Linked DNA regions of Sus scrofa. The protein of the gene in region 2 purifies or fractionates together with the protein of the main gene of each other region. This does not show direct contact. Links are inferred from orthologs where the notes say so. Each region holds a gene or a part of one and is shown on either strand. Other genes may lie near its edges. The genes, in order: PPP2R1A and TBCCD1.

Region 1 (3,815 bases), on a different chromosome or scaffold from region 2:
AGCAAGCAACTTGCTGTTATTAAGCTTCGACAGCCAGGTGTTGGCGTCAAACCCAGGCTGCCTGCATGGCAGCCCTGAGACATCACCGAACCCGCAGCCCCTGGGACCCCTCGTGGCCGCCCCCTCCGCATACTTCTCCAGGACGCCAACACGCAAGGGAGCTGTCCTCGTGAGCATCCGGGGAGAGGGGCTCCAGCCTCCCCCGCACCCACGGGACACACACCTGCCCCGGCCAATGCGCCCGCACAGCCTTCCCAGAGCCCCCGCCCAGACTCACCGTGATCCACAAGCCAGGCCATGCACAGGGAGTTGAGCTTCTCATCAAAGAACTCCACCCCCTGCAGGAGAACAGGCGGGAAGGGGTTGAGGGCGCCTGGGGAGTTGGCAGCGATCCCCAGGGAACCCCCCCTCCCCCAAACAGCTGGGACATGTCCCATCTTCACCTGAGGGGCTCTGTTCTTCGTTCTCATCTCACTCTACCCATCTTGTGAGGCCCTATCTCCTGGGTACTTTCCTCCGCCTCCTGACACCCCTCACCTCCCAGGGAGCCCTCGCGGCCCAGGCTCCCCGCCAGAGCCGCACCCACAGTCTAGCGCCCCTGGGCAGTACACCCGGCCCTGGGCTCCGCGCTCACCAGCTGTCCGGCCAGCAGTGGCATGTACTCAATGATGGCCAGCCGGACCCGCCACTTGGCATCCTCGGCCAGCTCCACGATGGCGGGAAGCAGGGACTGGGACAGCTGCCGGATGCCAATCACCTCATTGACGCAGTCCAGGTTGGAGATGATGTTGAGCCGCACCTCCGGGCACTGAGCAGAGGAAGGGGGTTCTGAGGGAAGGCCCCGTGCGCCAGCGGAAGCCGGGACAGGGGGAGGGCTCCACCGCCCAGCTTCGCCGAACACACATCGCCCAAGGGCGGGGCATGACTGCCCACAACCTGCTCCTGGCCCCGGGGCCGCATCAGAGGCCCCCGCAAAGGGAGCAACATGGATCATGAGTGGAGCAGCTTTTCAACTCTCACAACAGCAGCACGAGAAATGTGGAGCCAAAGCCCGGTGCCCTGGAAAAACAGCCAAGATGGTACCCAGCTGCGCCGTCTGCCAGCGGGGAGCCTTGTGGCAAGGGACCTGCCCTTTCCGGGTACCAGTCTCTGACATGGAAACACCCCTCATCCCAGAGGGTGGCTGAGCCTACGGAACCACCTGCCAGCGTCTGATCCACAAAGACCTTGACGTGAAGCTTAACGCTTTGCTCATTTCTCTTGCTTTTATTCTCCCTGCTAGTCTCTGAGCTCTGCTAGAAGAAGCATGGCTCACTTATCCTTATGTCTTGGGACTCAGCAAGGTTTCTAGGCCACAGAGGGTGCTCAACACATTTCTGAAACCAAGGAGTAAAGAATAATTTCTGAACCGCTAGCTGACTAGTAATATCTCGAGCTCTGCTCTACAGTAAGGGCACACACACAGGGATCCCCGGCTTCTCGAACGTTCCCTTTACACCACTATGGGTAGATGAGAGACCTCTGCTTGTACCTGCTTCTGCTCACCAAAAGAAACCCAAGGATTTTTGCTTTTACAAATAAGGAAACTGCTTCTTTGTTCCACAGTGCTGTGGCATATGGAAGGTCGCCCAGGAGTGCTCCACCTGAGGGCACCAGGACCCTGCACCCCATGCACCCCCATAATCATGCGAAGCGGCTTGTAGGAAAAAGCACCGAAACAACCATCACGTCGCACCGCCTCTCTGCAGGTCACGCTTTCCTGGATGATAAGACGCTACGGTTACTTCATTCTACGTCTCCCTCCAGGAGCTGAGGGGCGAGGAAGCAAGTGCTGAAATCCATCAATGCACCAAATAAGCAAGTGTGCAGTAAAAGGTTAAAAAAGATGGCCCCGGGAGTTCCCATCGTGGAGCAGTGGTTATCAAATCTGACTGGGAACCTTGAGGTTGCGGGTTGAATCCCTGGCCTCACTCAGTGGGTTAAGGATCCAGTGTTGCCGTGAGCTGTGGTGTAGGTCGCAGACACAGCTCGGATCCTGAGCTGCTGTGGCTCTGGCGTAGGCTGGCAGCTACAGCTCCGATTCGACCCCTAGCCTGGTAACCTCCATATGCTGCGGGAGTGGCCCAAGAAATGGCAAAAAGACAAAAAAAAAAAAAAAAAAAAAAAAAAAGACGGCCCCAACCAGCACCTGGACCATCCAGCCTGATTTAAAAAAAACAAAAAACAAAAAAACGGGGTCTTTTGTTTACTTTGTGTACTTGGGGGCCTCGGGCCATGTCAGATAGATTATGCTGACGAGGTGATTTATGCTGGGTACCTGGGGCCATGTGGCATCAGCCTGACCTCTGCAGTGGCTAGAGACAGAGTAACCCAAGGTCAGCCATGCGTGCGGCCCCATCCAGGCCTATGTGATCAGACCAGGCCCCCGTAAAAACCCTGGACACCAAGGCTCGCCAGCAGCCTCCGTGGACGCCATCCCACGCAGGCGCTGGGAGAAGTGAACCCAGTCTCAACTCCCCTGGGAGTTCCAGGGAAACTGGCACCTGGCCTCTTAGGCACCGTTCCCCTTGGCTGATACTCATCTGCATCCTTTCGCCGTAACCCAGAGCAACCATGAGTGGAACAGCTCTTCTGAGCTGAGGATGGTTGGGCAAATCTTGGACCTAAGGGTGGCCATGGGGTAAGACCCATGAGCAGTAACGGAGAGCAGTGGCCGCGGCGGAGGATAGGACAGCCTCAGCTGCTGGCTCCACAGTGACAGGCCCCTCCGACAGGCCCTTGGAGAAGTGCAGGCGAGGCCCTTCTTCCTTCGTCAAAAACACCAAGAGTCTCCTTTAGAATGAAAGAAAGGGAGTTCCCATCGTGGCGCAGTGGTTAACGAATCCGACTAGGAACCATGAGATTTCGGGTTCAATCCCTGGCCTTGCTCAGTGGATTAACGATCCGGCGCTGCCGTGAGCTGTGGTGTAGGTTGCAGACGCGGCTCGGATCCCGCGTTGCTGTGGCTCCGGCGTAGGCCGGCGGCTACAGCTCCGATTCGACCCCTAGCCTGGGAACCTTCATATGCCGCAGGAGCAGCCCTAGAAAAGGCAAAAAGACAAAAAAAAATTAATTAAAAAGAAATTAATTAATTAAAAAAATAGAATGAAAGACAGCGGTTTCCCGCCAGCTCGTCTAATGGCTAAAGCAGCATCTCAGCGCCAAGGCCGCCTCCCTCCCTCCTCAGGCCCAGTGCGGCTCTTCCTAAAGCCGAGGGCTCGGGGAGCGGGAAGGAACAGTCCCGTGTGATCCGCCTGCCTCGCTTCCAGGCACATTCCTTCACATCCTCCGCCAGACAGAGCTGCTGCAAATGCTGGTGAAACACTGGTCCATAAGAACATAAAACAGACATTTTTACCTTTTCTGCAAAGGACACTGTATCCAATGAGGACAAGAGCCTCAACCGTCACAGCGGTAATCAACAGCTTCTCAGCCTCCCCTCTTTCTCTAAAGGAAGATTTCCGCAGCGGGAATCTCCTATGTCTGCCACCATCTGCACCCCCAGCTGGGGGGTGAGATACTTCCGTACGTATCAGAGTCTACTGCTGGGTGATCACGGGAGTGCACAGATGATTCGAGTAAGCCGGGAGGGCCCAGACGCGGTCAGACGCCAGGGCCGGGAGGTGGGCGCCCCTCCCTCCGCACAGGATGGGTGGGTGCACCCATCAGAGCCAACCAAGAGCAAGACTTCTTCCTTGAAGAAGCTGAAAACCAACTGGATAGAGACCTAAGTTCACGTACGTGAGCTTAGAGGGAACTCAAGGGCACGTACAACC
Region 2 (3,815 bases):
GAACCTCCATATGCTGCGGGTGTGGCCCTAAAAAGAAAAGAAAAAGGAAAAAAAAAGGATTACATGGGATCTCTCTGTTCTTACAGCTCCGTGTGAATCTACAGTTACCTCAAAAAGTTTAATTAAGAAAGTAACAATTTAAAAAATATACAGATTCGTGAGGTTCCATGTTGACAGTTGATTGACTAGGCAGGTTTAGGTGATCCTGAGAATTGGCATTTTTAAGTTCCTTAGGCATAGCAATTTTTAGGCTGGTTGGGAATCAGGACGAGTATAGCTGTAGTCCAAGATGTACTGCTTCGCTTTTTTTGCCTCTCTTATATGTGTATGGGAAGGAGTATGTGAGGATAGTTGTGGGCTTCAAATACTGAGCTTCAGACCACACACTTTTTCCAATAAGAATTGACTTATAAACATTTCTCAGGTAAGTAGTATTTTTTTTAAGTCAAATACCCTTTTAAGAATTTGATAAAAACCTGAGGTTAGGTCTGCTCTCCCACAAAATGTATATACACCCAAAAATTACATACAATTTCAAGTGTTGCACTGATATTCTAAACTTTCTTGTTAAGTTTGTGATTAGGTTAAACTAATCTCTATGTCTTGTTTAAGTTTCCTTTTTCCTTTTTTTCATCTGTTTGTTCAATTACTAATTATTATTATTATTATTATTATTTTTGACTGTCCCGTAGCATATGGAGTTCCCCAGGCCAGGGATTAGATCCGAGCCACAGTTGTGACCTAAGCCACAGATGCAGCGGTGCTGGATCCATAACCCACTGTGCCAGTCCAGGGATCAAACCGACGTCCCAGCATTCCCAAGAGGCTGCCGATCCCCTTGCGCCACAGTGAGAACTCCAACTAAGATTTTTTTTTTTTAACTGTAATTTTAAACTTGTGAAATAATATACTTTAAAAAAATACATGCTTCATCCTTTCCACTTCATCTGTTTGAGAGAGAATGTCTATGGTCATACATGCTACATAGCTTTCTGAGAAGCTAAGAAATTTTACCAGTTTAATTAGTTTGAGAAACTCCTACATCTAGGTATCAGAGACATGCATATCAAATGCTAGCAACCTTTCTACATTTGTCTTCTTAGGATCAGCACACTGTTGGGTATTTACTATGTCTGCTTAGTTGTAGGCTAGTGGTTGATGTGGTTTTAGGACATGTGTTCATCATTTATTTTCTTCTTGGACAGCTTTCAGTGGACACCCTGCAGTTTCTGCTCTTCTTATATATACAGCAGTTAAACAAAGTCTCCCTGAGGACATCTTTGATTGGAGAAGAGTGGCCTAGTCCCAGACACAGATCTCAGTCTCCTGACCTGACTGAAAAATCCAGTTGTCATAATAAGGTACTGTTTAAATTATGGTCTCTTTCTTTAAAAGGGACAATTTGTGAGGGAGAAGGTTTGCCTTCATTAAAAGTTACTTTAAATTACTTATATAAGCCAGAGATTTGCTGGCATATTTTGTTTTGTTTTGCTTTTCACTTTTTTCCCTAATTATAAAACAAAATATGTGCAATCTTGGAAATCCCTGATGGCTCAGCAATTTAAGGATCTGGCATTGTCATTGCTGTGGCATGGGTTTGATCCCAGGTCTGAGAATTTCCACATGCTATATGCATGGCCCCCAAACAAACAAGAACAACAACAACAAAACCCCAAATATGTGCAATCTTAATCAAAATAGAGAAGCTACTTCACTTCCTTCAATAACACAAAAATCACTTAGATAATATCTGGGCAAATTATTCACTGTACTTCTGTTAGCATTCCCATTTTTGCAAATATTAATGCATTTGATTTCATATGAGTTGGGGCAAGTCAGTTCACTTCTCTTGCTGGGCTTCTTGACTCTAAACAGGGATGATAATGCCAATTTCTGAATAGCTGTGAGAATTCAGTAATGTATTAGCATGAGACTTGTTGCATAGTAAATACCTGTATATGGTGACTTTAGTTTGTGCTATAGCATGACTTCTCTCAGCATCTGATTGGACCGGGGATGGACACTTGACTAGAGTCACCCATTCCTAGTATGTATTTGAAATTTGTTGGATTTGAAATGATGATCTGGCTCAATCCATACCCCCAAAGACTGAAGAAAAGACCAGTTGTGATGGGTGTTTGTGCTGGTAGCTCATGTGGCATTGGGACCAGAATAGCTACCACATCCATCAGTGACCTGGAATTATGAGATTAGCAACTCAGAGGTAATCAGAGAAAAAGAAGAGAATGGAGCAGACATGCAGAAAGACCTGAGAGAGAACCAGGTTCAAGGTGGCCTCCAGGTCCAGTTCTGATGAGGCCTCCTTGTACTTCAGTCCGGGAGAGGACTATGTGTTCCTACAGTAAAATTTCCTTTTATTTGAATTAACCTGTATTGTCTGCTAGTGACAATTACCACCAGCTACCCAGGCTCTCTCTGTCACCACCCATACCTAGTTAGTTGTCAAGTCTTGCTGGTTCTGCCTCCAAAATAACTCTTTAATAATTTATCCCCTTTTTTGCTCTTATATAGGCCCTACTTTGTCACCCTGCTTTTTATCTGTAGTCCACCTACTACACTGGACTTTCTAAAATACAGACCGATTCTATCCATCTCCCGTCAAAACTCCATCAGTGAATTCTCATTGTAATCGTTGTTTTCATCTTGTACTCACCATGGGAGGGGGGAATGTAGCAAGAGGGAGGAAGAGCAGGTGAGGCCGTGGCAGCTCTACTTTAATATGTTCTTTGCCATCCAAATGAGAGTTTATTAAAAATAAAAAATGGTATGGCTGTTTACAAAATAGTCTGAAAGTCTCTGGCGCTCAAAATAAAGTCCAAATGTTTTAGTATTTCACCCAAGGCCTTTCATGAATGGTCGCTGCCTACCATTTTATTTTTTTAATTATTTTTTATATTTTATTTTATTTTGTTTTTTTGTCTTTTTAGGGCTGTACCCACGGCATATAGAAGTTCCCAGGCTAGGGGTCCAATCGGATCTGTAGCCTCTGGCCTACACCACAGCCACAGCCACGCCAGATCCAAGCCGCATCTGCGACCTACACTACAGCTCATGGCAACTCCAGATCCTTAACCCACTGAGCGAGGCCAGAGATCAAGATAGATACTCATAGGTACTAGTCAGATCCATTTCCACTGAGCCCAACAGGAACTCCCTGCCTACCATTTTAAATTCAACTGCCACTTCCAGCATACTTCCTACACCCTATTTAGAACTTCCATGTCTCTGAACACAGCAAGTCATTTTACTCCTATGGGCCTTTGGATGCTGTTGCCTAGGCCTGGAATGCTTTCTTTATCTGATCTGTTTGCATAACTGCCAACATCAATCAAGAATCTGTTCAGGGGTTCCCGTCATGGCGCAGTGGTTAACGAATCCGACTAGGAACCATGAGGTTGTGGGTTCGGTCCCTGCGCTTGCTCAGTGGGTTAACGATCCGGCGTTGCCGTGAGCTGTGGTGTAGGTCGCAGACATAGCTCGGATCCCGAGTTGCTGTGGCTCTGGCGTAGGCCGGTGGCTACAGCTCCGTTTGGACCCCTAGCCTAGGAACCTCCATATGCCGCGAGAGCGGCCCAAGAAATGGCAAAAAGACAAAAAAAAAAAAAAAAAAAAAGAATCTGTTCAAACTACACTCCGCTAAGATTTGTGTGCCCCAGATGGAGTTCTTTGTTCCTCTCATGCTGATAGAATTTAAAGATCTCTTCGGTAGGGATCTCACTGGATTACAGTTATTTGTTTATCTTGTCATTTTAGTACATAGATCCTGAATTCCTTGAGGACAACTATGTCTTACT

The links.
Region 1: the proteins of TBCCD1 (region 2) and PPP2R1A purify together in Homo sapiens (affinity purification with mass spectrometry; 4 studies listed by BioGRID and IntAct, counting the BioPlex papers as one, with this or other methods). This does not show direct contact. The link is inferred for Sus scrofa from reciprocal best matches to the Homo sapiens genes TBCCD1 and PPP2R1A.

Annotation. Positions count from the first base shown.
Region 1 is NC_010448.4:57,933,716-57,937,530, forward strand, and holds part of PPP2R1A (serine/threonine-protein phosphatase 2A 65 kDa regulatory subunit A alpha isoform), read right to left. Parts: intron 809-3,815; coding exon 635-808; intron 339-634; coding exon 278-338; intron 1-277. UniProt on the Homo sapiens protein: The PR65 subunit of protein phosphatase 2A serves as a scaffolding molecule to coordinate the assembly of the catalytic subunit and a variable regulatory B subunit.
Region 2 is NC_010455.5:124,377,530-124,381,344, reverse strand, and holds part of TBCCD1 (TBCC domain-containing protein 1), read left to right. Parts: intron 1-1,205; coding exon 1,206-1,361; intron 1,362-3,815. UniProt on the Homo sapiens protein: Plays a role in the regulation of centrosome and Golgi apparatus positioning, with consequences on cell shape and cell migration.